2 linked regions of the Notamacropus eugenii genome follow. Each later gene encodes a partner of the first gene's protein in a complex. Links are inferred from orthologs where the notes say so. Each region holds a gene or a part of one and is shown in the gene's direction. Other genes may lie near its edges.

Region 1 (15,932 bases):
CCTCCCCCACAAAATTGCCTTAATGTTGTATATATTTTGTATAAACTCATATGTGTATGTGTTGTCTCCCCCCCCCCAAAAAAAATGATCGCTCTTCTTCTTGAAGGCAGAGACTTTTTTCCATGTATTCCCTGTGCCTAGTATAATGTGTAGCACACAGCAGGTGTTTAATAAATGTCTGTTGATTGATTGATTAATTAGGGACATTTAAACTGGGCCATCATACATAGCACGTCATCATGTAGGGCTGGAGGAGGGAACTCCAATAAGAGGAAATGAACAGAAAGAAAAACACTTCTAGGATCCAACTGGAGGATAGCAATCCTACAATTTGGCTGGAGCTGAGTGTGTGAGGGGGAGGAGCGTGAGATAAACATGGAAATAGAGGCAGCCAAGATGTATTGAAGGAAGTAAAGCCCAAAGAAGTGATCTACCTAAAGCTACACAAGTTTCTTTTAAAATTCTGAACTTAACAAAATACCAAAGAAAAATGAGAATTTTCATATACAAAATAGAATAGAAAATGAAACTGCATGGGTCTATCACATACAACTTATTTTCCCTTTTAAGAATACAATAACTTTGACATGTCACTGTCAAAGCAGTCCTGTTTGCATACAGTAAGTTGATGGCAGAGTTAGGAATAGATTTTTTTCTCCTGAATCTTTGACTCCCCTCTGAAAAGTAGCCCCACCAATGGGACAGCGAAATAGACCCCCAAAGAGTTCTGTTTCTCCATATGAACCCAGAACTCTTTATTTCTGGTCCAGCGTTTTCCCCCATACCAGACTACTCCTAACAAGTTATCTGTGTAGGAGTATCACATTAGTGCTTTATCATTCATTAACACCTTACTGAACATCAGTTGATCAGATTTGCGTCCCTCCTCTATCTAACAGGAAATTGAAGGATACAAAATAAGGAGAGGTAGAAAGAACAGGTTTGAGTAGGTAGTGGGAATAGGGGGCAGCAGCTTTGGGGCAGCAAGAAGCAAAAAAGGGGGGACTGCAAAAGCCTGAAAACAAACTATCATTTTAGAGACCGGACTGCAGAATAACCTTAAGTAGATTGCAGAAATATTAAATGTACCACTTGGAGAAAAACAAACAAGAGACCCCCCAGATAAAAATTTTGGGTATAAATATTTAAAAAGGCACGTGTTAGAACTTGTAGCTCAGTATTTTTGGCTTGGCATCTCCAGCACTTGGCCCAACTCCCAACACATAGTCAATTACCAATCAATGTCTGTTTCATTGAAATCAATTCAATAGAACTGTGTGTGAGCTTGTTAACATGAGGACTTCCTGTAAGCACTCCCTTCAAAAGGCCCCACATAATTTGGATCATTATGTAGCAGAGATTGGCCTAATTTTATAGGATGATTTGAATACTATTCTTATTATTGTGTCGGTGATGGGGATGACAAATGATTACTCATGCTTTTGTCTCATAAAACTTTCCTTGCACTGGGGGCATTGTTATTTGTAGAATGAAGATTTGAACAGCAACTGATCATTGAAAAAGAACAGAAATAGATGTATGAAAGGTTTTTAAAAATATTTTCAAAGTGCTTTTAAAAACATAACAACCTAACGTTTGTGGAACTGTGGGGAAAAAGGGACACATATATCAAAATTGGTTTTATTTTACCAAAGAGTAATCATAATAATAGCAGCAACATTTATACAGTACTTATTATATACTAGTCACTAAGATGCAGATGTTATTATTATCCTTGTTTTATAGATGAGGCAATTAAAGCAACAAAGGTTAAGTGACTTGCCCAAGATCTCAAAGCTAATCGGTAAATCTGAAGGTACATTTGAATTCCTGTCTTCTTGACTCCAAAACCCATTTACTCCCCATCTAGCTGCAATATAGAACTACATACATAAAAGTTACAAAGCTGTTCATGCCCTTTGATCCAGAAAAGGAAAAAATAAAGTGATTTGTATGAAAATATTCTTAACCCAATTTATGATAAAAAAAAAAAAAACGAAATTTACCCAAATCCCCTCCCCCTCTCCTTGAGAAAATGCCAAACAAATGATGGGATATTAACATGCTATGTAAATATTTTTAAAAATGAAAAATATGTAGATTGCTTTGGTGCATAGGAAGGAAAAAACAGAACATTGAACTTGGTGTGAACACGTTTGCCTCCCCTTGTCCCCAACTTTTTCCTCCTTTTGATTTTAATATTTCTATCTGTGACACTCTTCACCCAGTTTCCCATGTCAGAAACCTCAGTCAAGATTAACTACCTTTTAATTTCACCTCTCCCATCATATTAGTTACCAAATCTTGTCAGTTTTTCCTTATTTTTCTCCCAACATTTTTTCAATCACATGGACTGAAAACCTCAAAGTCCTACTTCCATTCTCTTATCAACATCCACTCATTTGCTAAGTTCTGCCAATGCCATCTTCCTCCATGACTCTTTCCATATTCTAGAGTTTAGAACTAGAAGACCATCACACTATTCTAGTAACAGGCTACTCAGTAATCATCTACCACTCAAGGCCTCTGAATAGGTTTTCCTACCCCCATTCACTCTTACTTCTAAACAAATTTTCACGTTGTTGACAGAATAGCCTTCCTTATTTGTTGATCTGGTCTTGTCATTTCTCCAGTTAAAAATTTTCAGTGGAGTTCACACTCCTTTTCCTAACTTTCAAGGCACTCTTCTAACTACCACTACCCTACCTTTCTATCTACCCTTATCTCATACTACCCCTCCTCCTACACCCAGTGCTCTTGTCACACTTGACAACTTAACCTCACTAGTATAAATCCCACACTTCCCTGACTTTACTCTCCATGTTCCCCATACCTGGAATGCTTTCTCTACTTCACCTTACTTTGTCTAGAAATTCCCAATCATCCTGTAGTTAAAGTCCAATTTAAATTGAACCTCCTCCAGGAAACCTTTCCTGACACCCTCCATCATTTATGACTTTCCCAAATCGGATGCATTTAGCATGTTTAGTTTTATATTATGATTGTCTGTATTTTTGTCATTCCTAAATCCTATAGTTTTATGGTCTAAAGCAGGGGTGGGAAACCAGCAGCTTCGAGGTCACATGTGGCTCTCTAGGTCCTCAAGGGTGGCCCTTTGACTGAATCCACATTTTTGTTAAGGGGAGTTGTTCTGTGAAGTTTGGATTCAATCAAAGGGCCACCCTTGAGGACCTAGAAAGCCACATGTGGCCTCCAGGCTGCAGGTTCCCCACTCTGGTCTAAAGACATGGAATGTGATCTATGTGGGAACACTTTTCACCAATATGATTTAGTAGAGAAATCCTAAAATTGTTGGAGGCACTTAGAGATTAAATGACTTGCCTAAGGTCACATAGCTACTGTGTCAGAGTTGAACCTAGGTCATGTCGACTCCAAGCCCAGAAGTTTTTCCAATAGGCCATTAAGGCCTGAGATTCTAATAAATAGTACACAGAATCATAGAATGTCCAGAGTTAGAAGCAAACTTATAGATCTTCTAATTCAACCCCCATTTTACAGAGGAGGAGAATAAGGCTTTGAGGCATAAGCAACTTACCCAAGGTCATGTAAACTCCTAGCTTCCAGACTGATGCTCTTTCCATTACATCATGCTGGATGTCACCAGAGTAACTGACAAGTCACTGAAACATCACCTAGGTGTACACCAGATGTTTCATGTCTTGCTTCTTTTGGAAAAGATGAGCCACATTCCTTCTGTTTCTATGAGCTGCCAATTTTCCTAATTTAAAACTACGGGCTGAGTGAAAGAAGTTTCAAGGTGAAGCAAAAGTAGTTAACAGATGAACAAACTAACCAGCTATATAAAAAGATTTCAGAAAATTATTTGGACCCAAAGATGACAAAACTAGATCAACAAATTACATCTGGGGTGATAAATTCTTCTTGGAAATCAAATTTAGGAAAAAATAAAGCTGATTATCTGAAACTTCCAGAGATTTTGATTTCAGAAAGAGATACACAGAATGGAACTTCCTACCTACAATTCTAAAACCAGTCTGAAACAATGACTGTAAGAATTCCTCAGTCAGCCTTAATCTTGACTGCCATGAAAAATTTAACAATGGCACAAGCTGAGGTGTGAATACCTTTCCAACAGCATTAGACGCTTTGGCTTAAATGACCACACTCTGAAGCACACGGAACTGAATACCTAGATCTGCTCTCTTAAGCATATCTTTCTTCCCTTGGCCAATATCACAGAGGAAAAAAAAATCCAGGAAACTACTTCCTAAGTTTCAGCAAGAGTAGCTACTTCTTGTCTATTTTACCAATGTATCTCCCAAATGGTTCATTTACTAAATGTTGTCAAGGAAAGAAAAAAAAAACCAGGAGGAAATTATGAGCTGCTGAAAGCAAAGAAAGCATTGTGTGCCTTCCTTTAGAAACCACTGCTTCTGTTAAATTTAATGACTTTCCCCTGCAGCTTGCATGGAAAAGGTGTGGTTACTAAATAAGGGGTGGTTTCTAAATAAAGCCCTATAAAGTGTCCAAACCCATCTGGGAACTTTGAGAGAGAATTACCTAAGCTGCACTGGTATCAGAGTTGGTGCCAGGCCTAATAAGTCAGCTTTCAAATGAGTCATGTGAAGCAAATTTCCAAATCAATTCATGTTGCTATCATGAGACACTTTCAGTAAGTGACCTGAAACTCATCAGAGATGGAGTGAGAAAGCACAAGATCATGGGCTCTCTGTTGCTGAGATTATTAAATGACTTTAGAGTTGAGGTTCTTATCCTGGGGTCCATGGACCCCCATAGATTTTAGGGAGTACATGAACTTAGATGGGGAAAATAGTTTTGATTTCATTAAAATTTGGTTTTCTTTGTAATTCTATTAATTTTTTATATGTGTTAAGACATTCTGACAAGGGGTCCACAGGCTTTATCACATTGCAAAAGGGGTTCATCATTGTTCAGTTATCTGTTTTTCAGTCATGGCATTTGCCATCCCCTTGCTTTAATCTTTGTGACCCCTTTTGGGGTTTTCTTGGCAAAGACACTGGAGTGATTTGCCATTTCCTTCTCCAGCTCATTTTACAGACTGAGGCAACTCAGTCTGAGGCAGAGTTAAGTGACTTGCCCAGGATAATAAAGCTAGTAAGTATCTGAAGCTAGATTTGAATTCAAGAAGATGAGTCTTTCTGACTCCAGGTTTGGCACTCTGTCCATCTAGCCAGGACATCAAAAAGGTGAAAAAGCATTATTTAAAGGTAGTTTCCATTTGTCACTAGCTGTAACCCTCATAAATTCAACAGAAAACCAGGAAGGAAAAAAAAGGGGATGTGAACTTGTAAGAGAACAGCCCACTAATAGAGGAAGTGAGCACGTATGTGGAATGGACTTCAAAGATGGGTCTTTTAGGGAAGGATTATAAGATCGTAGTGAAAAAAATTTTAGAGGATGAGAGGTTGACAGACTTGCCCAAAGTCATCCAGTCAGATGCAGGCTTCAAACTGAAGTCTTCTGACTTCTCTGCCAACACTCCAACAAACTGCCTCTAAAAGGAAAATTATTTGATTTATGCCTATTGCTCAAATAACTTCCCCCAAGCCCTCTGACTTCTCTAATATATTCTTTAAAAGAAGCAGCAGGAGTGAGACCCGAGTAGTATAGTCTCTCCAAAGAGGAGTTTTTCCCTAGATGAAAAGAACTCTCTGAACTGGGTGCCTTAGTAAAGGGCAGGGACCGCCTCAGTATAATGCTTCTTCTAGCCTATTCTCCCCACTCTCCCTGCCCCGGGATAAATGTGTTTGATAAAGGAGATGTCAAATTAATGATTTTTTCTGATATCATTTTCTATCCTCTTGCTTTAAAAATAAAATTAGCCTATATGGTTTTTTAAAGCCCCTTTTTATATTTATGTGGACATTATAAAACTGGGAAGCTACAATGACTGATTTTTTTTCTGTGCTTTATTTTTGAGAGTACAGTAAATTTATGTTCTTCAAGAGTTGTCTAAGCAATGTAACAAAAACCTATTGCTATGATCCTATAATCAATCCTTCCCTAAAAGATCTACCTTTGAAGTCCCTCCCACCAACACAAGCTCACTTCCTCCATTAGTGGGCTACTCTCTTATAAGACCACATTCCCCACCTTTTATTTTCATTCCTGACTGTTGAATTTCTGAGGTCTATGGTTAGTGACAAAAGGAACACACCTTTAAATAATGGTTCTTCATCTTTTTTGGTGTCATGGCTAGGTGAATAGAGTACCAAAGATCTGGAGTCAGAAAGACTCATCTTCCTAGTTCACTCACTGGGCAAAAGGTCAAAATACTTCAAGAAAAAGTAAAGAGGATAGTTGCTTAATGATGAATACAGGCTTGAGAGGAAGGCCAGCTGTTTCGTGGTGGCACGTGCATTGACATGTCATTTCTAGCTGTTTCCCCTTTAATTATCCTGTGACTGCCTTCACCTGTCCAAATTGGACCTGCAGGTGTCCCTAATGCTTCCTACTCAAGCTGATTCTGTCTTAATTTGGCTTAGTAAGGAAGGCATGTAGAGAGCTGGATCCTCAGGAGATAAAGAAAGGTAACTTGTGCCTCAGGGTAGATTGATTGTTAGGTAGATTGAGAACTTGAGCCACATAAAATCTTCCTAATGACTGTGGCAATAATCTTACTTAATTTACCAGGTATACAACCAGAAGATGTCCATCTTTCTCACCTACTCTTTCCACCACCAACTTAGTTTTCCCTTTTTCTGTTCTTTCAGTCACCTGGACTAGAAGCTACAAAGTCCTCTTTGCTTTTCTCTTGAAATCCAGTCATTTGTGAAGTCCTGTCACTTTCATCCTTCCCATGGTCTCTTTGCATTTCATAGGATTTAGAGTTAGAAGACTAGCTAGTCCTCCAGTGATCAATTGAGAAAATTGAGGCCCAGAGAGGTTGAATTTTTTTTTTAATTTACTCAGATGCAAAGCTGAGACTCCAAAAGGGTAAATAGGTGGCTCAGTGGATGGAGTGCTAGCCCTAGAGTCAGGAGGACCTGAATTCAAATTTGGCCTCAGACACTTACTAGCTGTGTGACCCTGGATAGGTCACCTGACCCTGTTTGCCTCAGTTTTCTCATTTGTAAAATGAGCTGGAGAACAAAATGGCAAACTACTCCAGTACCTTTGCCAAGAAAACCCCAAATGGGATCATGAAGAGGGGGAAATGACTGAAAAATGATCAAACAACAAAAAAGGACTCCAAATCCAGTACTCTCTGCCACATTCCTTATTGTCTCTTCTCGACACCACCTTCGTGGAGATTCATTACATCTCCTATAAACTACAGCAATACCCCTGCTCTCCCTCTTCTAGTTTAGCACAGTTCTAGTATAGATTCCAGATTAATCTTCATAAAATAACTTGGATTACTCACTACCCTGTTTGTAAAAACAAAAACAAATGGGTTCTTGCTGAATTTATTTCAGCAAAAACAAACTTTTTAAAGCACTCCTGTGTCCAAGTCACCAATGGGTGTAGAACTCACAAAGAACTACAATAGCACTTGCCCTCAAGGAACGTACTTTGAACTGAGTATACGCCACATGTACACAGATAAGTAACTAAACTGATCAGAGAAACCAAATAACTGGAGAACTGGTCTCAAGATTTTGAGGAACTGTTCAAGTTGGCATTCAGATACTCTCAAGTATTCAAAATACTCTATTCCTGACCTCAACCTAGCTTTAGTGTAATCTAGGTTTCCTGAATTCCTGCCATTTCCTGTTTCTTGAATAAATCTCTCTCTCTTTTTTTTTTATCAGCAGAACAATTTATACAATAACAGCGACCCTACAGAATAAAGAAAAAAACTTTGAAAAACTTTAAAACTCTGAACACGGAAAGACGAGATGAGCCGTGTCTCTAGATAGGACTGATGCTAATCTCACTTCTTAACAGAGAGCTGACTGAAAAAGTGGAAGGAGATACGCATTTTGGCTTTGTGTTTGTTTTGTTTGACCATATTTATTTGTTACAAGGGCATATTTTTTTATTGGGTGGGCAATGGAAGAGGGGACAGCAATAGCATTGCCTCTCAAAAAAAGAAAAGAAAAAGACAACATATACTAGCACAACTGGATTTGCACCTAATGACTTCTAGAATGCCCGTTCCATGTGGGTATAGACTCATAAGACTTAAAACAGTCTTATAACCACGTAGAAAGTTAAATGAATGTGTCTTAAATGAATGAATAAATGAGGGAACATTGAACATCTACTTCCTCAACTCTGGGCCAGAGATGGGCAGGATACAAACAGGTATAACAAAGTAAATCCTTTCTTTCAAGTAGTCTTTATTTATTTTGGGAAGGATGGAGGAGGGAATTATTGGATCATACACATAGGGCTGAAAGGAACTTTAGAGGCCATCTAAACTCATTTTAGAGACGAAGAATCTAAGGCCAGAGAGGTGAAGATACTTGCCCAAGGTCATACAGGTAACTAAACATAGAAGTGAGTTCAAATCCAAGTCGGTTCTATGACAAATTCCAATGAAACAACAGAAGACGGTATTTACTTGTGGGCTGTTTGTGTTGTGCAGGTTTGTAGTACTGGCATGAGTTATGTTCGCTTGGCCATGAATGTGAAAGGAAAGCTCCTATTTTGTTTTTCACAATGGGGCAGCCTGCTCCCCTTCTCTGCACCCCCACGGTCCTTCTCCGGGCTCCCCAGTGGCTAGCGCTCAGTGTCTGACAAACCCGCCCCAGGCTTCGTGGAGCGGAACCTGAGAGCAGATGGAAAAGTAAAAGCGGGAGCTGCTCTCGCCGAGCCTTCTGCGGGTTTCGGGGTGGAGGAAGCGGGGAGGCAGTGTAGGCTGCTGGGCCTTTTTAGAAGGCAGACGCGATGTGTAAACCGAGAGCTGTAGCAGCTGCTGTGGTCCCAGCAAGAGTGAGAAGGAGGGGGAGAGAAGGGGACTGCAGTGGCTCTGGGCTGCTAGCCAAGCGGGGTGGGGTGAGCGTAGGGGGTCAGGCGAGGTGGATCTAAGTGCGGGGGGCCGGGGGGGCAGCAAGGGTGCAGAAGGTGAGGGTGGGAAGCCACCTGGACTGCGCGGGGGCTTTCTCTTCTCGGCCCTTTCTAGTCTGTACATTCCACCTGGCTCCGCTCCACGCCCTGCCACCCTCCCACGTCCCCCGCAGAGAGGGGGAGAAGACCCCTCCCCGTCTCGCTCCCTCGCCACAGTCTAGCTGGGCTGCGGTGGCTTCGGCCGTAGGGAGAGGGGAGGCACCTCCGGGGAGCGGCGAAACCTGTTGGTCCGGTCCTCGGGAGACCAAGGAAGAGGGAAGGCAAGAGAGGGAGGGAGGAAAGCAGGAGGAGGGAGGGGAAGAGACGGGGGCGGGGGAAAGGCGAGAAGCCATTGGAAAGGAGGAAGAGCGGCAGTAGCCGCAGTTGCCGCCGCCAAACCGGACACACGTTCCCCGGGGCCCCGGGCCAGGAGCGGTGCGCCATGAAGTGTTAAGGAGCCTGCTGCGGGGGGCGGGGGGCAGGTACGGCGGCGGAGCACACGGGAGGAGCCCGGCGGGTGCCAAAGTCGACTGGAGGCGCTGAATGTCAGACAGGTAAGGAGCCACCGGGGCCGGGAGCGTCCCCCGCCCACCCCGGAGCCCCTAGTGTCCCCAGGCTCGGGTCCCCGGAGCGGAGCCCGGGCAGCGGCGGAGGCGGCGACAGCTGCCGGGGCTGGGGTCCTGGAAGGAGGAAGTCGGTACCAGGAGGGCCCGGGGAGTCGGGAATGCCCCGGCAGCTGGGGCGATCGAGGCGGTGGAGCGCTGGGAGGCAGAATCGTTCCATCCCGCTGCCCAGCCCAGGGTGGGAAAGGGAGCGGGGACTCCACGTCTATCTGCTCATTACTTTTTAAAAAGGCATATATGAGAATTGGTGCTTTAATCTTGAAAGCCACTGGAGGAAGGACCCGGAGTTCTTTGGACTGCCGCTTGTGGGATGTCCCTCCGGGAAGGGCATTTAAACTCGGCTTCCACACATTCATTCCCGGGAGCGCCCGAGTGGGGTTCTGTGGCACCCCCCTGCTGAGGTTTCGGGAGCTCACCGGAGGGAAAATTAAGGGGAGCTGCAGGTTAGATGAATTCCTGGAGGGAAGGATGAGGGAGACACCTGCCAGATCCCAGATCAGATCTCAGGGTGGCTGCCGATAATCCAAGAATGCACCACTAGGTTCGTTGGCAACGGGCAAAGTTTATTTTAACAATAACTTATTTTTTCTTCTCCAACTGCTACCATTAAAAAGGCCCCTTCTCCGTTCCTGATGCCTAGAGTTGTCAGGAAGCATTTCCTCCCACCGTTTGGAGATGTAAAACTTTGCAGAATTTGTATTGAAACATAGATCTCTCTAAAAAGAATTGCCCTGGTTTTCCTCGCCAGGTGCTTAGGGTGTCAAGTGCACCATATAGTGGTGACTGGGCCATGAAAGACCTGCTGAATGTATAGATTGCATATCGTGGAGATAAAGGGCAAAAGAAAATACCTCTAATCTTGGATCCCTTTGTAACTGCTTTTTACTTCTCCTTACCTTCATCTTAAACTGACACCTGTAGTCATTTTGGCTCAGCTTTGGCCTGAAAGGGGTAAAAATATTCAGAGTGAGGAACTTACCTTATTTCTTCCTTGACTCGTTCGTTATCTATGCAGTGCTTTCATTACACCAAGACTTTCTAGTGATCTTTCTATGAGAAAGCCCTTCCTACCTCCTTTGAAATAATTGAAAGATAAGGTGTGCATTAAAGAGAGTGTATCTTACATTAAATGCAGGATTGTGGAAGAAGCAAGCACTACTGTATAGTTGTGTGTATATTGGCCTTCATCTTTTAAAGATCACCACCACCATCCCAACCCCTCCAATAACTGGCTGTAAGTTTCATCTGTGTACTTCCAGTGCCTTGAACTGTGCCTGCTCCTCTATTTAATTGAAACTTATATTATGGTCAAAGGTATAGTTATTGTTGCTAGAGCTATTGTTGCATTTGCTATTATAAATTTGTTATTAAATACTTATACAGTCCTTGGTACAATAGAAAAACTTAGTATGTGATTCAATAATGATTACTTGGTTTATTTTCAAATAAAGAGAAAGAGAAATCATGTATGCTAACAGTACCATGAAGGTTCTTTTGATTAACAGCTTTCATTATGTGATGAAATTTGGGGGGAGTTTCCATTTTTAGTTAAGGAGCTTTAAATATTCTGGTATTTTGTCAATTTCTGAAAGTCATGCATATTTTTTACATGGAATGAAACAAAATGTTGCCATACACAAGCAAACAATAAGTATTTATTAATCCCCTAGTATCTTCCAGGCTTTCTGCTAACTAAATACCTGGGATACAAAAGCCACCCCTCCCCCAAAATCCAACAACAGTTCTTGTTCTCAAGGATGTCACAGTTTATTAGGGGAGGCAATATGCAAACAACTGTTGACCAGATAAATTAGAGATAATATCAGAGGCAAGTCACTGTGATTAAGGAGGACTGGGAGTGGCTTCTTGCAGATGGTGGAACTGTAACTGAGATTTGAAGGAGGCCAAGAGACTGAGATGAGGAAGGGGTCCCCATAAAGGGCTTTGGGAATTACTATTAGTAAAGAGTTTAGTATATTGCAGCTAGATATTTGTGTGGCCACTATAAATGACAGGATTTCTAGTCATAGTTGTTATTTACTAGTTAGCATATGGTGTCACTATTAATATTGGTTACTCTCAAGGTTCAGCCTCTTATTTTTAGGGGAAAAAACTATATCTTGTATTTATTTCCTCTGTTAGTAATTTCATGGTACTTTTTGAAAATTTGAAATAAGCAATATTTAAAAGCAAACCCAGCAGAATTCAATCAAAAGGTAGACTTGGAACTTTTCAAGCCTTGAACTAGCTTGCAGTCTTAGGAATCCTACTTTTATAGCATATCTCGGATGTAAACTATTGTATATATGAGTTCTATGTTCATGGTAGAACAGTGTGAATGCCACGACTGCTTACTAGGAAACTAAGACTGAAGAATCATAGATGGAGAGCTGGAAGGGACTTCAGAGGCTATTTAATCCAGAGGAGATGCTAAAGCCCCAGAAGTTAGGGTATAGAGGTAAAAAACATCAGGGCCAAGATGGGACCCCAAGTCTTCTAACTCCAGTCAAGTTCTACACTTTCTGCTATTTTACTTCAGAACTAACCCAGGGTTCAAACTGTACTGAGCCATCCTTTTTGCCTGAATTCTGCTTTTGAGGTTCATATAAATATGTGGGCATACATTAAGGGTGCTGTGCTCTATGAACAAAGCAGAATTGAATCAGCATGAAGTGAATGTAGGATGCACAAATTTGGAGTATCCACCCCAAATGTTCACATGGACTATCTGTACCCAACCTGTGCTAGAGCACATATTGATCTGATCAGTCACAGTCAGACACAGTGAAACTTGAGTTTATTGTGGTGACATTATTTTGGTCCTCTTCGAGAACGAAGGACAACAGCCAGCATGTAAATACATGTATGTATTTACTTTCTTTTACTTTGGGATATTTTAAAAAGTCAACAATCATTTGTTAAATGCTTCCTATGTTCTAGACAATGAGCTAAACCCTGAGAATACAAAGAAAAATATCTTCAAGGAGTTTATTTTTTAATGGGAGTGGGGGTGGGGAGGAGAATAAATAGGTGTATAAAAGATATGTATTGACTAGCTTAGGGCTTCTTAATTTGGAGCTTGTAAGCCTCTTAAAAAATCAATTCAATAAGCACTATTCAACCTAGTTTAGAATATAAATATGCAATCCTGTACATTTTATGCATTCAAAAGCATCCAGAAAAGGGGTGCACTGACTTCCCTAGACTGCCAAAGGGGTCTGTGGCACAAAAAAGGGTAAGAACCCCTAGACTGAATGGAAGCTAACATCAGAGGAAGGCAGCAGCTGAAGGAATTGGAAAAGACCTCTTGCAGAAGGTGGCATTTGAAATGAGTTTTGCAAGAAAGCAGGGATTCCATGATGTTAGTGAGGAGGAATGGAAGACAGCCACTCCAAACTGAATATGTTTTATATTTGTGTCGACTTTCAGGTTTTGCACTTCTACAAGCTGGATTTAGCTAAGCATTAATTATTTGTATATCTCTAGAAACCAGGGTTTTTTGCTAAATATTAATGATTATAACTCTGGCTCCTAGAGATATTAATTTGATGATCTACCTCTGCTCTACAGTTCCAATCTGGTAGGATTGTAGCCCTTGTAAAAGTTTTACAGGAAAAGAATAGGGAATAACTTGTTTTTAGTGATTCAGTGAAAGTTCTGTAGCTTCTGTTTTTATAGTCTGCGTGTGTCTGTGTTTATGTATGTTCGTTCATCCTTCATTGCCAAAGAAGACCATGCCATCAGAGAAATGATGACATGACTTGCCCTTGACTTTGTTTTTTGAGTGAGGGAGGGCTGTGCAGGTCACCAGCCTTACTTCTCCTCCAGAGCCATCTGAATCCAGTGACCAGATATTCATCAGGATGATTGGAAATGACCCAGGATGAGGCAATTGGAGTCAAGTGACTTGTCCAAGGTCACACAGCTAGTGAGTATCAAGTGTCTGAGGTGAGATTTGAACTCAGGTCCCCTGACTCCTGCACTGGTGCTCTTATCCATTGTACTACCTAGCTGCCCAAATAGAGTACTAGAATACTGTCAAATATGAAAGTGAGAGGTGTGGATAACTCTCATAGTTACCCCTTCCAGGCAGCTTCTCTAAGAATTAGGGATCCCAAAAAGAGGTCTTCCAAGAGCTCTGGCTATTTCTTGAAGTGATAACCTAGAGTAAGACTTAATTAAGCCTTTTCATTATAATATCTGAAGATTCCTAATCATTCTGTTGGTGAGCCAATTTCGTCACAGGGAATACCTCAAAATAACTTGTATAAATAAAAATTAAATATACTTTTCAAATAGAAATTTTGATAGGGTCTCAAGTTCTTATTTATGGAAAAATGAATAGGTACTAGTTATCTTTATTTTAGCAGGATAATACACTTTCATTCCGTGGGAGAGGGTGTGTGTGCCCATATACAGCTTCTTTATGAACATATGCTTATTGAATTTCATTCTGCCTGGGTTTGTCATTTCCTTCCCCAGCTCATTTTATAGATGAGGAAACTGAGGCAAATAGGGTTAAGTGACTTGCCTAGGATCACACACAGCTTGTAAGTATCTGAGGCTGGATTTGAAACTCGGGAAGATTCCTGATTCCAGCCTCTGCATTCTATCTACTGCACCACTCAGCTCCCTTAAAGGTAATTCCACCTTTAGTCCCTTTGTGGTATGCACAGAATGAAATACCACTTGTTCAACATGTAAAAAAGGAAACTTGTTTTGGAAAGATAAAGATGATAGAGGAAATAAAATGAATTTCCTTCAGTTTATAGATCATTGCTCTCCAGCAAAAGGAATGCTCTCCTCCTCTCTCCCCTCACCCCCCCCCAAAAGAATCATGACAAATTTGAAATCTTTTGTAATTAGAATTTTAAAAAAAGAGGGAAATGAGCAAAATAATTTAAAGGAAGATAGATAAAAGGAGGGGGCAAATCGTAGAATAATGCAGAGTGAGTTAGCTAGTTCGCCCCCTCCATTAGAGGGCTATCTTTTTTTTTTCTTTCAGTTAAAGGAAGGAGATTACGTGATCTTCCTTACTAAGTAATTCTAGGTTTTTTTTTCCCTTAGCAACCTAATGGGAAGGAAGTTAATATTTCACATATTTCAGTGTTATATGATTGAACCAAGATATTTAAGATCTAAAGAAATATATTTCTCTTTTGGCAGAGTCTTTCAGAACTGTAAATTTACATTTTATGATGTGTCTCAGGCTTTCAAGCTGGGACAATTTATAGTCTATACAATTAAAGAATTTTAATTTTTCATAAAATTAAAGTGACTATTTGGTAAACTGTGGCCAACCATACTATTGGTTTTTGTTTTTCATTTGTTTAACAGCTGTTTCCCTGACTAAAAATTTCCTTTACAATATCTAGGCATTTTATGAATATTTGTGATTCATGGCCCCATTTGTTTCGAGAATTCTAACACTGAATTAGATCAGTCACTTGTATGCCCTCCCCATTAAGTGAGATAAATAAATCTAATGTTGCTGTCTGAGGAGCTTAATGGTAGAAGAGAGAGCCTCTTCTTTGTTAGAAGAGATATTCTTAAAAATCCCTTTCCTTTTGCCCACCTAAAGACTGTTTACCTAGTCTCAGATGATTTGAAGTCTTATAACACTGAAGTTCTGGCATTAATTTCAAAGACACTAGAAAGTTTATACAATACCTTTTGTAGAAAGTAAAATTTCAGTAATATACATGAATGAGTAAATTTAAGTAGTACAAGTACTTCTCTGTGAGATTAAAATGGCTTTGTCATCTAATAATTTGAAATCAAAGTAATCTTGAAGAAATTTCTTCTGTTTTGTCTTTAAGATTCACCATAGCCTAAACCTTCTATCAGGTTTCCACAGTTTTAGGATAATGCTGAAAAATGTGTAAGGTTTCAATAAATTGTTGATTGATTTTATTATAAGCCATCAACCCTTCTCAAAGAAAATCTTTGCTTCTTGGTATAATCATCAGTGAACAACTGATGTGCAGGTGTCAGGGTGGCACCTGCAGGACTTCCTTTGGCCTTGGGTGGTCCCACTTATACTACCATCCTGAAATCAGTGTCCTTGCTCATGGTGGGAAGGGTGCTTTTTCTACCTTGAGGTAACCTATAGGTCACATTAAACTGCTGATTTGGTTTATCCATCTTCATCTGCTCCTCATCCTGAATGCATGCTGTTAAAAAAAAAAATTCAAGGCATCTAAAGTTACTAACTTGGGGTTTGGGACACAAATTAAATATTTAAAACATTCTTTGAAGGACTTTTTGGAAAGCACCCCCCCCCCCTTTCCA
Region 2 (15,740 bases), on another chromosome or scaffold:
GGACCAAATCTGATGATCAGAGGGAAGATAACGAATTTAATCAGTTGCCTATGCAATACAATGGTGGTGAAAAGTTTTGCCTTACCCAGGGAATAACTTGTGTTTTTCTGGGGTTCTTCTTTGGGAGGGGCAGGAAGGATAAACTACTACATGTGAAATCTTTCTTTACTGGACATGAGAAGACCCACACTACCTGTAGAAAAAAAAAGAAACATTTATTTCTTTAATGAAAAAACTCTGCTTTATTCAATTTTTCCATTTCATTTGGAATGGACATTCCAAAATTCAGACTTCATAATCAAGATGCTAATTTTATTTTATATTATGTAACTATGTCTTGATTCTTTTTAAGATTTTTAGCATAGAAAGGAGATGTCAAATATAGATTTTTCTATATGTCTCCTCCCAAATGTGTGTGTGTGTATATAGAATTCCCGAACAAGGAAATTCCCCCACTGATGCAAATTGGCACTTCAAGGTTAAGTGTCCTGCCAGTAACTTTCAAAGGTGGGATTTGAACTTAGATCTTCTGGACTTAGAAGCCATCTTACCATTCACTCTGTCATTATATGTAACCTGAGTTCGAATCCTGTTTCTGACACTTACTAGGTGAAATACCTTATGCAAGTTACTTAACCACTACTGGGCAGCTAGGTGGTGCAGTGGATAAAGCACCAGCGCAGGAGTCAGGAGGACCTGAGCTCAAATCTCACCTCAGACACTTGACACTCACTAGCTGTGTGACCTTGGGCAAGTCACTTAACCCCAACTGCCTCATCCTGGGTCATCTCCAGTCATCCTGATGAATATCTGGTCACTGGATTCAGATGGCTCTGGAGGAGAAGTGCATTTTCCAAAGTCAAATGCAAGTGATGTCATTATTTCTCTAATGGCATAGTCTTCGGCAACGAAGGACAAACACACACAGACACAGACACAGACACACACACACACATACACACACACACACACACACACACACACACACACCCACTACTATGTACCTTAGATTATTCTCTAGGATTTATCTACTAAATCACTACCCTACTTTGATCAGAATTGGCAAATGGGGTTCTCACACCAATTTCTTAAACTAATGAAATCATAGTTCCTTTGTAAACTCTTGCACATATGTATCCATAAACATGTGTGTATGCATGCAGATATATACATACATATATTTAAAATATATATGGGATTCAAAGGTAGATCATTTGACATCATATATATACACATATACAGTGTGTATATAAACACGTGTATACACACATATATAAATTCATAATAAAACAATTCACTGATATTTTGTGTAGGTAGTGTTAGGATGAGTTGGAGTGAAAGGCCAGGCATTATACAGCTAACAATCATTAGTTTGCTTGTTTTTTAGTATGTCAAAATATGTATTTTTATTACTTTTTTCAATGTTTTCAACTTTTTTTAAATTTTATTTGTTTTTGGTGTTCTACAATCACTTCCATATATCTTAGATTTTTGCCCTCCCTCCCCACTCCTTCCCTGAGATAGCATACATTTTTATAAGTTCTACACATACATTCCTATTAAATACATTTTCACCTTAGTCATGCTAACAATCATTAGTTAAACAACATTACCAATAACATCACTTGAATAGATTTATATTTTTATAGTTCTAGTGTTCATGGGCCTTTCAAACTTTGTAGTTGACTTGTCTGTGGCACAGTTTACCCCGCCTTTGTAAAATAGTCTTGCTAGCGTAATGACATTTAGTCAATCTGACTGACCTCATCAATCAAGCTGAATAAAGGTAAAGCGAATGCTTGAGTAGATTTATTAGCTAAACTGAAATTAAGTTACAAATACTGAAACAATAGAATATATGTGCTATGCCTTAAGTATATCACAAATTCAATTAGTTTACCTGCCTAGTACACATTATTAAATTTATATTGTTATTGGATGTCAATATAAATTGTGCACCACTCATCTCTGCATTCACATGGATCAAGGTCCAATTGAATGACAACTTACCTCTTTGGATTTATTTACCCCCACTTCATTTCTCAGGAACTTCAAATTCAGTTTTTCCCATACTAACTGGTTAGGGTTATACACTGAAACAGTGAAATATTTAATCAGGACAGCATCACAAAGTAATACCAGTAGGAAAAAAAAAACACATCATTCCCAGACAAGTAGAGAAGCTTAGGGAAACAGTTTCTTCAAGACTCAGATCTTTGAAATGAGAAAAGATCTGAGAAAGATTTCATTTTTGAACTAGAATGAAGGGGGTTGAAGCTTTTACAATGCAAGTATTTTTGGCACTGCTGCTCCTGCTGGTATTATGTTCTTTTGCCTCATCTCTCTGTTTCCAAAAGTTGGCCTCAGGGACATTTTGGGCTGCCTGGCTTCTAAGACCTGGCTCTTGCTTTCTGTATAGCTCCAATTACCCTTGTGATGCAATAATCCTATGCCAAAGGACAGTCTAATGGGAACTGAAATAATGGGAACTTCCTTAATCATGCTATGGTCCCAGGCATGCTAAGAAATGTAGTCCATCAGAATATTCTGTTGCACCTATGTTTTAGGTATTACTTGTATTTTTTTTTAATTTTAAAAATTAAAAAAAAAAATCAGGCATGGCCATTGCCGAATGAGCTTATTCCTAAGAACAATAAAACCATACTGTCCATGCATTTTTATTAAATACTTATTGTAAGCCAGGTACTATGCTCAGTACTGAGTACTGACATATAGGGTAGATTAGAAAGGGAATATAATGAGATAGGAAATCCACTTATGAGTCTTTAGCAAGAAATCAGGGAAGCGATGGCAAGCTCTTGAATTAGAGAAGTGTCATAGGAATGTAATATGAAGGATGAATAGGGGAAATTCTCCTGAACAAGGAAGAACCGATTGTTGGGATGAAAATTATAGGAACCTTGAGGGAAGTGACCACTTCTTTCTAAAGTTTGTGACAGAGAAAAGCTGGGCATAGTCTGACACAAACTCTTGAACTGGGGAGAGATTTCAAAAAGTTCAGAAGAAGGAAAGACAGAATCTCACAGACTAAAATTCTGCAGGAGCAAGTCAGCTGAAGGAAGGATAATTCTAAAAAACACAATTCTCAAGACCCAACAGGAAATAATTCGGATGAAAAGAAAAAAAATAGAGATTGCCTAAAGAGACCAATGCAGATTCACAAAACTGCCTCAATTTTTAAAAGATTTGTACAGAAGACAGCTTAACAGAGGATACAAGTATGTTATGGTCCTATTAAAATTGTGACAAGTGCTAAAGCTCAGAAGGATCTGAGACTGGTCGGGGGAGCTAAGGATAACAAAAAGAATTTTGTCTTGTTTTTAATAGCTGTATTGAGTGGGGAAAAGATCAAAGGAGAGCACTGCAGCTTCAGGTAGATGAGACAATGATAGCTAACAACCAGGAAAAGCAGTGCTGTTTAATTCTTGTTTTGCTTTTGTTTTTTCTGATGAAGCGTTGGAACTGCCCTTCTCCCCAAGTGCCTTAGCTGTTACACACAACTTTTATTTTCTGAGGTTTATTTTTAACACATGCATGACCTTTTGCATGGGCAATGACAGAACAAAATTGGCTAACTGTGAAGTTGATGCCCAAGGTAAGGAAATAGTAAGAGAGCATTTAGCTACTTTTGAATTAAAGTCACCTGACCTAAACTACATCCTCCTGTTGTAAAGAAAATGGTGATTATAATAGCTGAGCAGTTGTCAATGACATTTGTAAGATTAAAGAGGAAAGGAGAAATACTACAGGACTATAGCCAATCAATGAACATTTATTAAGCACTGTGCTAAGTGTTGTGGACACAAAGAACGGCAAAAAAAAAAAAAAAAAAAAAGGAGCTCAGTCTAATGGAGGAAACAACATACAAATACCTATGGACATATAAAATATGTACTGGATGAAGTAAGGGTAATTTTAGAGGGAAGGTTCCAAGATTAAGGAAGTCTTTGAAAGTTTTCTTGAAGAAGATGGGGCTTCAGCTGAGACTTTAAGGAAACCAGAGAAACTAGGAGGAAGAGACGAGGAGGAACAGAGTTCCAGGCATGGGAAGCATCCAATGAAAATGCTGAGTAAGGAGGTGGAATGTCATGTATGAGGAAAAGAAAAGTATCATTGGATCACAGAGTATGTGAGGGAAATAAAATGTAAGGAAACTGGTAAGGTAGAAAGCGATGATGTTAAAAGGGCTCTAAAGTCAAACAGAGCATTCTATATCATCCTGAAGGCAACAGAGTTTATTGAATGGAGCAGTAGGGGGAACAACATGGTCACACCTATGCTTTAAGAAGATCAATTTGACAGCTGAGTGGAGGATGGTCTTCAGTGGGGAGAGATTTGTGAAAAGTAGATCAATCATCAGACTACTGCAATAGTCCAGGGCTGATTTGATACAGGCCTACTTCAGAGTGGCAGCAGTGTCAAAGGCAAGAAAGGGTCACATATAAGAGATGTTATGAAGGTAAAATTGATAGGCATTGGCAACAGATTAGATATGGGAAGTGGTGGTGAGAGTCATGGGTTGTGAGCCTGATTAAGTGGGAGGATGATTGTACCCTCAACAGTAATAGGGAAATTTAAAAAAGGATAGGTATTGTGGAAGAAAGATGAATTTGATAAGTTTAAAATGACTCTAGGACATCAAGTTCAAGATGTCTAACAGGCAACTGGCAATATAAAACTGGAAGATGGGAGAGAGGTTAGAGACAAGCAGATATGAATATTTGCATAGAGATAATTGAAATGAGAGTTGATAAGATCACTAGATGAGAATACAGAAGAAGAGGACTCTGGGCACAAACATGGGGAACACTGAAGGTTAGTATGATCCATCAAGGTAGACTGGAAGCACTCAGGTAGGAGAATTAGAAGGGAGCAATAGCACAAAAACCTGGAGAGAAGAGAGTATCAAAGAGAAGGTGATTAATCGTCTCAAAGGTGGCAGAGAGTTCAAGGATGAGGACCACTAAAAAAAAGGCCATTAAATCTGGCAATTATAAAGTCATTAGTAACTTTGAAGAGAGCTGATTTGGTTACAGTATGAGGTCAGAACCAAACTGCAGACAGTTAAGAGAATGAGATGAAAGGCAACTGAGAGACTGATTGTAGACAGCTTTCTTGAGGAGAGGAATTTGGCATCAAAAGAAATGAGATATAGAACAAAATAGCTAACAAGGATGGACAGATCAAATGAGAGGTTTTTGAGGATGAGCGAGACATGGGGATGTCTGGAGAGAAGCGGCTAGGAGACAGGGAGAGATTAAAGATTAGTCAAAGAAAGAAATGGTAGGGAGGGCAATCTGCTGAAGAAGATAGGATGGAAATTGATCACATGTGCATGTAAAGAGGTTTGCCTTAGGAAGGAGAAAGATCGTTTCTTTCTGTAAAACAGAAGAAATAGCTGCATTCTTTGTGAATAGCCTCAATTTTTCAGTGAAATATGAGGCAAGGTTTTGGACTGAGAGGGTGGGGGAAGGGAACCATGAGAAGTCTCAGGAGGGAAAATGGTTTGGAAAAGCCATGGTTGTGAGTGGCATAATTAACTGGAGCAGTGCGACTGTCCCAGTTTTAAAAAAGAGGCAGAGATTCTTCAAACTTCAGGACTGATACTCAGAGTATTCTAACAAATCACTAAAGATACAGTTAAAAACATCCAAAAAAAGGAAGTAGTGATTACAAATAGACAGCATGGGTTTATTAAGGACAGGTCATGCCAGATCAACCTTATTTCCTTTTTTTGACATCACCAAAATGGCAGAGCAGAATGCTACAGTTTTCTCATATTTTGCAAAGCATTATATAAAATTTTATATACAGTTCTTGTGGAACAGATGAAGTGATGTGGATTAGACAGAAAAATTCTGAATCAAGTAGCTGGACTGAAGTAGTTAGTTGTTAGGGTTCAATGTCTACTTTCCTGGTGGGATGGGAGGGTGGTTTCATTATAGTACCATAGGGTTCTAATAAGTATTTTCCTGTGGTGTTTGAGATTTTTATCAATGACTTGATTAAGGTCAATAGACAGCATGCAAGTTCATCAAATTTGCAAATGACACAAAATGAGAGGGATAACCAATATGAGTCAGGAAACAAAAGATATTACTTTTTTTTTTAACATACCAGATCTGTGATCTCATTAATTTATGAATCAACCAGGAAATACCAGCACCTTCTCTTCAACTTAAACTTAAGCAATTTACTTGAAGATATTGAGAAACATTTAATGTTTAAGGACTTGCTCAGGTTCACATAGTCAGTACTGTATCAGATGAGGGACTTAAACTGAGAGTCTTCCTAAGGCCAAGGGTAACTCTCTATTCACTATGCCAGAAGTGTCAAACACATTTTCTGGACATGATTAATATGTCTTGTCTGACTGTACTTAGTTAAGTGAAAGTTCTGTTTCAAGGGTAAGAATGTAGTCATATAGAAGTCAGTAGTAGAAAAAAATAAGTAATTGTTTTCCCTTAAATAATTAGATTTATTCTAAGTTCCTGAAGATAGAACCAGAAGTTCTATGGAAGCTGCAGACAGACATTTAGCTTTGATATGAGTTAAAACTTTGTAGAAATATGAAAAAATGGGCTGCCTTGGGAGGCGGATTTCTGCTCATTCGCAAATCTTCATGCCAAGCCTGGATGCCCACTAATATTGGATGTTATAATGTAGACTTTTTGGATGTTGGACAAGATAGATGCTGAGGTCCCTTCTAACAATAACATTCTATTATTTTCTGCTTGTCATTTTGGCAGAGAGCATTCCAGCAGATTCCAGCTCCCATCACTACTACAGCATGCTTCTGTGTCAGGCTTGTTATATTTCTCAAATGTATCTATTTTCTTTCTGTCCAAGTGGTCTATAGTATACTCCAGTGAAAATTATGTCTGTTTCTGCCTCTTGGTAGTCGTTCAAAAAACCTCCATCATGCTTTCCTCCTCTCTAGTTACTGGATTTCCTCACATATTGTGCTTACTATGTACAAAGCATTGTGCCAAGTGCTGGGGACATAAATTGAAAAGGCAGATTCTGCTTTCAAGGATTTCATATTCTAATGGGGGAGACAATACAGAAGTTTTCAGCTTCACGTCAGATGGAAAGTTCCCATAGTCCTTAGGGTGCATCATCAAAGTAGATGGTAACACCTCATCTGTAGTGTTATTTCATTGCTTAAAGCAGTGTCTGATATTGAACCATTTGGCAGTTCTAAGGACTTTGGTGGCAGTAACTTTTGGACCTTCAGGAGCTTCAGAACCTTCAGGAGCTGCCAGACTTCATCTCCACTGGGGTTGTTTCTCAGGATAGCGCTGGAAAACTGTTATTTTTAAGATTCTCGGGTACAGGATCCTGGGCTGTCTCCATCAGGGCTGCTGGGGAAATGATAGTGGTAAAGATGGTGCTGGATGGTAGTAGTGATGCTGGTGGCAGTATGACTTGCCTAGTATAGGCTGCCTTATGTCTTTCCCTAAGGATCTCTTGTAGTTTTGTGGGCTCACCTGCCCTGTGGGTGGCAGTTGGTATACAGTACATCCCAAAAGTCTTAGTGAAGTTTTAAGCTTTAAAACTAAAACTTCTGAGTCATCATAGATGGACATATATATATATGTACATATATATATAAAACACCTATGTACACTGCATTATATCTTAACATTCAATGCTGACTAACCCTCCATTGCCTTATTCATTTAAATTATAGCCAACCATAACCATATTCCAATCACAGAACCCACCCTACCAAGTCTTAGTGACACCTATGACATTAAATTAGCATAATTGCTTTAGGATCTCTAGTTTATTTTATAGTGTACTTATTATGTGTATTATGTATATGTTACTTCTTTGTGTATTGGCAAACCAGGACATATATTTTACAACTGACTCCTTTCTTGGGTTTTATCTTCTGTGGATTTCTGCCTCAACTGCTACCCTTCCTAGTTTGTAGCTATTCTCCATAGTATTTAAGGTTATTAATGTACATAGGCAGTTTTCTTTAACTTAAAGAGGTTTCTGGCCAGTTAATTCTTTTAATTTGCAAGGCTCTGGGCAAATTCATTCTTGGTAGATACAAAACATTCCTATATTCTAAGTTGTGACCCCCCAAATTGAAATCTCATCCTTAGATAAACTTTTTAACCAGCTGCTCATGTACCAAATATGCTTTCCTTTTCTGATTTCCTGCTTTTTGACAGGCAGCAGTGATGAAAATACCATCTGTGCTCCTGTGAGGGATAGTTTTTTGCCCAAGACATTCTAATCTTTGGCAACACTTTCTTGATTCCTTCCAGCAGTACCATTTGAACCACACAAATCACCGGAAGTGGATAGTAGTAATCTGTTTTGACAAGTCTTGACAGGTTCTGTTACATCATGTATACATGCCTTAAGATAGCAGAATTCTCTGTTAATGAAACAAGTTAAAAAACAGCTGCCTTTGTATCCCTCAAGAGGGAGTTGCCAATTACCATTATTCATCTATTCTTTCTCTGACCTGGGTAGCCTCACCTGACACTACTTTCTGAGTATTATTATTCCTTGGAGAACAAGCAATCACTTCTGTCAGTCAATACAATTTATTAAGTACCTACTTTGTACCAAGTAGTATGCTAAGAGCTAAAAATACAAGGTATGTGTGTGAGGATGAGGGTGGGGAGTCTGTACTTTATTTAAATGAGTTCCTAATTCTAACAGGGAGGGAGACAGCAAATAAACGCAGTACAGGATAAATTAGAGGTAATCAACACAGGGGAAGGCACTAGCATTAAAGGAGATCAAGAACGTTTTCTTGTAAAAAGTGGAATTTTAGCTATAACTTGAAGCCAGGAGGAAGTTTGAAGTCAGATGAGGAGGCAGAAAATTCCAGACATGGGAGGAAGGCAGCCAGTGAATTTGCCCAGAATGGATGGAGAGATTCAAAATTGTTTCTTGGTTACAAGTGTTCAGTGATGCTTCCTGCCTTTATTTCTTGTGTCTTATCTATGAACTCTCCATTATCCTGGCCCAGATCAAAATTCCCTTTTTTCCTGCCTTGGTTTTCACACTGAAACCCTACATGACAGTTTTAATGGACCATTCTATTGTATCAAATAACACAGACAGGGGGGTTGAAAAAGGGAGAGAGCCCCAAGTCCTTTTATATTTTTTTTCTGGCATGGACAGATATTTTGAATTTAGGTAAGTAACACAATTGTGGTCAAAAGGATAAATAAGGTCATGAAGGCAGTTAGCATAAATTTGTACTGATGCAGTCTTGCAGGATATAATACTTTCTTCCAATAGCACCAGGAAGTTCAACCAAAAGAGCAGAAAAGGTGGATGACAGAAGTTACCCAGGGCTGGCAGGTCAAAGAGGGAAGGGATTTAAGTTGGAGGCAAGAAAGTAGCTGACCACAAGCTTAATCAGACTGAAAAACCAAGGAGCAACTGAGGAACCACAAGTTTTGTTAAAAGTGAAGAACTGTTCTTGAAGAAATAAGAAAGTGGGAGACATGGAAGAGTCTGAAAAATTCTGGAACTCAGAAGATCTATGAAATTTTCTCCCTTGTGAATAAAAGTATATTCATCCTGGTGTGTTGCTGAAATGGAGTGAAGGTGGGGATCCCAAGTCTCTTTTTAGCTAAGTAATGAAGGTGGGTCCCTTAAGACCTGAAAATCAGTTTCCTTCCGTTGAAAAACAGAAAGTAATCCGAATATTCCTTTAAGTGGCAGAAAGTTAAAAGGAATGTGTAGCCACAGAGACAGGGCGCCCTGATAATTTAGCTCTTTCTCGTTAAAATGGAACCTTAAAAGTAGGAAAAGAAACAAGCAGCAGCCACTAGACACTAGGAGAAGATAAGGCTGCTGAGAGAAGGCAGTGCAGGGAGCGCCCGGGCCGGGGATTTCCTGTCACCTGCTGGCAGAAACGCACCTTCTACCTGGAGAGCCGTGTGCACCGTCCCAGGCAGCACCCGCAGGGGAGGAGTGAGAACCCTGAAACCTGAAGCCAAGGTTCCCGGAATCGTCAGAAGAATTGGACCCCGAAGGTGGGGTGCAGCTGGTCACGCAGGTAGAGGGCGGAACCAGGGGGAGGGTTCACCCGCGCTGAGGCGGAACTTGGAGGTGAGCGGACACCTGGCCGAGTCGGGGGGGAAGGGATCGGCAGCCGGACTCGGGCTCCCCCCGGTGCTGGGCCTCGGGGCCTCGATTTCGGCTAGCTCGCTAGCCGGACCGCCCGCCGCCATGGCCTGGAGCGCGACGTCGCCCGGGCCCAACCAGCCCGACAACACGGCCTTCACGCAGCAGCGCCTGCCGGCCTGGCAGCCGCTGCTGTCGGCCGGCATCGTCCTGCCGCTCTTCTTCTGCGTGGGCCTGGCCTTCATCGGCCTGGGCCTGGGCCTCTACTACTCCTCCAACGGCATCAAGGAGCTGGAGTACGACTACACGGGCGAGCCGGGCACGGGCAACTGCTCGGCCTGCGCCGCGGCCGGGGAGAGGACGGCCCCGCCGCCCGCCAACTGCAGCTGCCAGTGGTGCTTCTCGCTGCCCGAGCTCTTCCAGGGCCCCGTGTTCCTCTACTACGAACTGTCCAACTTCTACCAGAACTACCGCCGCTACGTGGTCTCGCGAGACAACGCGCAGCTCAGCGGGGTGGCGAGCGCGCTGCGGCACCCGTCCGACGAGTGCATCCCGTACCAGTACAACCCCGACGGCGTGCCCATCGCGCCCTGCGGCGCCATCGCCAACAGCCTCTTCAACGACTCCTTCAAGCTGCTGCACCAGCGCCTGCCCGGCGGCGCCTACGCCGAGGTGCCCCTGGACCGCACCGGCATCGCCTGGTGGACGGACTACCACGTCAAGTTCCACAACCCGGAGCCCGTCAACGGCAGCCTGAAGCTGGCCTTCCAGGGCACGGCCAAGCCGCCCAACTGGCCGCGGCCGGTGTACGAGCTGAGCCCGGACCCCAACAACACGGGCTTCGTGAACCAGGACTTCGTGGTGTGGATGCGCACGGCGGCGCTGCCCACCTTCCGCAAGCTGTACGCGCGCATCCGCTACGGCAACTACTCGGCCGGGCTGCCGCGCGGGGCCTACTGCGTGAACATCTCCTACCGCTACCCGGTGCTGGCCTTCGGCGGCCGCAAGCGCCTCATCTTCAGCAGCGTCTCGTGGATGGGCGGCAAGAACCCCTTCCTGGGCATCGCCTACCTGACCTTCGGCTCCCTCTGCATCGTCACCGGCTTCGTCATGCTGGTCGTGTACATCCGGCACCAGGACGAGGACGGCGACGGGGACGACGAGGACCGCTGACCGATGGCCCCCCGCGGCTTCCCCGGGCGCGGCCCTGCCGGCACCCCGAGCTGTTCTGCGACACCTTAGATCCTTCCTTCCCACCTCTTACCCGTTCCTTTCCTCCCGCAAATTTCCTTAATGATTTCTAGTTGTCTTTGTGCAGCTGGTGGGTTCAAGTCTGGGGAAATTAATCCCCCTTCCCCACTTTAATTGTTTGGAAGCCGATCAGAGCAGCTGTTTAAGCAACTCCTTCCCACCCTCCTTGCCACCCAGTTCCTAATTGTTCCAGTGGAACTGCTTGGACAACAGAGCTGTGGGCTAGGGAAGTTTGTCCTCCACCTCTTTCAAAGAGATTAGCTTTCTCCTCCCCACCCACCGATTCCTGGTTGTCGAGAGGGAGCTGGTGGGTAGGCCTCAGGCCTAAGGAAACTACCCCTTTTCTTGTCTTGGAGGTTGTACTGGCCCTTGGGCTGCCTGCCTCAGGAACACTCCTTTTCCAACCCATCCCATCTCCTTTATGATCCAGTTCCTGATTGCTCCTGTGGAACTGTTTGGAGGAAAGATAGAAAGTCCAGGGACATTCGCCCACCACCTCTTTCCCAGGGAGGATTAAATCTTCCTAGCTTTTGGAGCTGCCCACCTCCTTAACACCTTTCTACTGCCCCCTTCATTGTAGTAAAATTCTTAATTGTGCTTGGGGTTGAATGGTAGGCCTGCAGTCCAAAGTTCTCTCTTAATTGCGTCAGACGTTTAATTGGGTCTTAACCAGTCCTTTAAACTACCTACCCCCTTAAAACAACTCCTTCCCATCCCATTCTCCATCATCTTGTGAGCTTTCTGGAGGATGGTGATTGGATGACTGACCTGAACTTCAGATAAATTTCCCTTCCCCTTCTTTTATTGTTTGAAAGTTAATCGGGTTTCTGAAGCATTACCACAGATTCTGTTGTGAATAAGATTGTAGGGTTCAAACAGTCAGATTTTAGGAATCATCTAGCATGAACCTCCTAATTTTACAGATGAGGAGCTACCCAAAGAGAGGTGGCTTGCCTAAGATCACACAGCTAGTGGTGGCAAAGCTGGGGTAGGAAAAAATAAATCCTATGACACTAAACCTATTGTTCTTTCCACTACATCATGCTGCCTCCCCAAATAATAATAATAATCGTGCCTTGTAAATAATGATTTTGTTCACTTCCTAAGGAAGTATTAACCTTGTGTTTTTATTCTCTATAGTTCATTGTGGTGGAGACTTGACATGTTTCTATAACAGTAATTGGGAGTGAGGCTATTTTTGCATATCTGTCTGCAGGAGAGCATTCATACTAATTAACTTAATATTTGAACTTAGGGCATTATACCACTAATACGTGCTGATTTATATGGTGATGTAAGGTCTACAGACTACATAGATTATCTCAGTTGAGCCTCAGACCTATGAGATGAGTGCAACGGGCAATATCTTCATTTTACAGATGAATAAACAGAGATTCAAAAAGGCTGTATATCTTGTCCGTAGTTATATACCTCATGAGGGTCAGAGATAGTATTCCAACCTAGGTCTTCCTAAGTCCAGCACTCTAACCACTCAATGAGGCTTATATTTGGCAGGCCTTCTCTTTTTCTGTACAAAACTAACTTGTCTTATTATATTTAAGAGAATTTGTACCCCAGCCACATGCCTTTTCTATAAATAAGAATATCCTTGACTTTCTAGAAGTCTTTGTCTGCCAAATAGCTTCGAGAAAGGCTAAACGATTCCAGTCAGAGGGACTGCAGGGCAGACTAAGGGCGCAGAGTCAAACTGTTTAATTTTTTGTTGTAATAGAAACTGAAGTTGTGGATTTTGTGTTTGACATTTGCTTTGCTAGATCCTAGGCAAGCAGTAGGTTTCAATAGGTTTCTCTTTCCAATTCCTCACAGGAACACTTTAGCCTTCTCATTACTTTGTAGACTTTAATGGGAAAGGCCAAAAATGCTTCGCTTTTGTGAGGACCCCAGAAGCAGCTTCTCTTCTCATTGTGCTCTTAAATAAAAGTTACATGTTTCTAGTTATCATGTTTAAAATTATTGCTGAGGAAAGATGATGCAAACTGAAATTTGAACTTTTGAAACTTTGAGAGTTGTTAAACTTTGGACTGAATATTTTTTGTGATCAATGCAATGATTCTATAAAATTCTAAGAAACAATTGTATTGTCTTTTAAAAATTGCATCGTTGTATGTAACTTATTCATTGAAGCTTAAAAACTTGTTATGTCCTTCCTACCTACTTTATTCTGGTGACATTATGCGTGCGTATATCCAGAACTCTGTTAATGGGTAATGGGTATTTCTTTTATGTATGACTTAGAATAGATGGTTTCTGAGGTCCCTTCCAACTTTTCAAATTCTGTAATTCTTTTATTCTTTCCACTATAGCACATAGGTCTTGGGATCATGTTAATGTCCATAGCAATCACCATTAAGTATTGTAAGACCCCCAAATTAAGTGCATTCTAAATTACCAAAGACATTTTTAGTTACATTCAATATAATTCTTATTTCCTAATTTTTTTTTTTTTTGAAAAATTGAGAGGCATCTTGGTAGTGTGATGGTGTAATGTAGAGAGCTGACCTTAAAAGTTGATATACATTCAAATCCTGCCTCGGACACAGTGGCCATTTGACTTTCAGCAATTCATAATTTTTCAGTGCCTCACCTAACTCTTCAACATTGTAAATTATCGACAATTTCTGATTTGCACTGCTAGAGGGAATTTCATCCTTTGGAATTTCCTTCATCAATGAAAAGCACAAGTCCGGACCAAAATGTGAAAATTATTAAACCATATGATTTTTTATTAATCACACTCAGGGTTTTTAGGCATCCAATTTGCCGAATTTGACTAGATAACAGAGTTTACTGTATGTGTTTCTTGTATCAGGGAGCTAAAATTCTGTATTTCAATGTTATTTTTAGACTGTTCCATCAGTCTGTATAATTAAAAAGTAACCAGTTTTTTCTTCTTAAAATTTAATTGAAAATTTAGTTTTCATGTTCTTTTGTTTACTGAAAGAGAATAAAGATCATGTTTCCCTTACATTTGCTCTTTATTTAGTGTACTGCATGCCCAGCCTTCATTTGATTTTCTTTTTAAAATTTTTAACATTTCCTGTTTAAATTGAATTTCAAACTCTTTCCATCTATTTAACCCCCTCCCTCTCCCACCATTTTCATGTTAGCCGTATTTTTTTTTAAAAAAGGCAAGAAAAATTGAGAAAATTATACTTCAGCTTGTACTCAGAGTTCATCATATCTCTCTGGAGGTTGACAGCATTTTTTTCATCATAAGTCCTTTGTAATTGTCTTGGATATTTGTATTGATAAGAGTAACCAAGTCTTTCACAATTAATCATTATTACAACATTGTTGTTACTGTACACAATGATCCCCCCCATTCTTCTCACTTTACTTTGCATCAGTTTATATGTCTTGCCATGTTTTTCTGAAACCAATCCCCTCATTATTTCTTATAGCACAATACTCCATTGAAATCATATGCCTCAACTTGCTCTGCTATTCTCCAGTTGATGAATATCTCCTTGCTTTCCAGCTCTCTGCCACCATGAAAAGAGATGCTATAAATATTTTTTTTTATATATAGGTTCTTTTCCTTTTTCTTTGATCTCTTGGGGACACATATGCAGTAGTGCTATTACTGAGTCAAAGGCTATACACAGTTCCAAATTATTCTCCAGAATGGAATTCATTACAGTAGCAGCTCATTAGCATACCTATTTTTCCCCTATTCCCTTCAGCCTTTGTCATTTCTGACAGGGTGAGGCTATAGGTCAGAGCTAGTTTACTTTTCATTTTTCTAGTAGTGATTTAGGGTTTTTTTCATATGCTATTGATAACTTTGCTTTCTTCTGAAAACTGCCTATTCATATCCTTTGACCATTTATCAGTTGGGGAATGGCTCTTATTTTTATAAATTTGACTTTAGTTCTGTACTTAGTATGTATTTGAAAAATGAGGCCTTTATCAAAAATTTTTATTCAGTATCTACTTGATTTCATTTTTTTAAGATATGATCCCATCCTATTCAATTCACTCTGTGCACTCTGTCTCTATGTGTGTGTGCATGTGCGTGTGCATGTGTGTGTGTGTGTAATCCCACCCAGTACCCAGATATTGAATAGTTTCAAGAGTTACAAATATTGTCTTTCCATGTAGGAATGTAAACAGTTCAACTTTAGTAAAGTCCCTTATGACTTCTCTTTGCTATTTACCTTTTCATGCTTCTCTTCATTCTTGTATTTGAAAGTCAGATTTTCTTTTCAGCTCTGGTCTTTTTATCAAGAATGCTTGAAAGTCCTCTATTTCATTGAAAGACCAATTTTTCCCCTGAAGTACTATACTCAGTTTTGCTGGGTAGGTGATTCTTGGTTTTAGTCCTAGTTCCTTTGACTTCT

Evidence for each region.
Region 2: the proteins of ATP8B1 (region 1) and TMEM30B are in contact, whole or in part, in a cryo-EM structure (PDB 7VGH), measured with the Homo sapiens proteins. The link is inferred for Notamacropus eugenii from reciprocal best matches to the Homo sapiens genes ATP8B1 and TMEM30B. Residues at the interface, in NP_001361314.1 of Homo sapiens: Trp362, Val366, Ser369, Ser370, Trp371, Tyr372, Leu373, Tyr374, Asp375, Gly376, Phe418, Trp421, Asp422, Leu423, Tyr426, Asp431, Pro433, His939, Trp942, Arg946, Tyr968, Phe971, Asn972, Gly973, Ser975, Ala976, Gln977, Leu1003, Gln1005, Phe1049; in NP_001017970.1 of Homo sapiens: Gly9, Ala10, His11, Gln12, Pro13, Asn15, Phe18, Thr19, Gln20, Gln21, Arg22, Leu23, Pro24, Ala25, Trp26, Gln27, Pro28, Leu30, Ser31, Ala32, Ala35, Leu38, Phe39, Phe46, Leu49, Leu53, Tyr109, Tyr111, Asn116, Phe117.

The regions. Positions count from the first base shown.
Region 1 is NC_092875.1:432,474,223-432,490,154, forward strand, and holds the start of ATP8B1 (phospholipid-transporting ATPase IC), read left to right. Parts: upstream 1-8,309; 5' UTR 8,310-8,453; intron 8,454-9,368; exon of another isoform or gene 9,369-9,572; intron 9,573-15,932. UniProt on the Homo sapiens protein: Catalytic component of a P4-ATPase flippase complex which catalyzes the hydrolysis of ATP coupled to the transport of phospholipids, in particular phosphatidylcholines (PC), from the outer to the inner leaflet of the plasma membrane.
Region 2 is NC_092872.1:304,644,134-304,659,873, reverse strand, and holds TMEM30B (cell cycle control protein 50B), read left to right. Parts: upstream 1-8,578; 5' UTR 8,579-10,233; coding exon 10,234-11,301; 3' UTR 11,302-14,365; downstream 14,366-15,740. UniProt on the Homo sapiens protein: Accessory component of a P4-ATPase flippase complex which catalyzes the hydrolysis of ATP coupled to the transport of aminophospholipids from the outer to the inner leaflet of various membranes and ensures the maintenance of asymmetric distribution of phospholipids.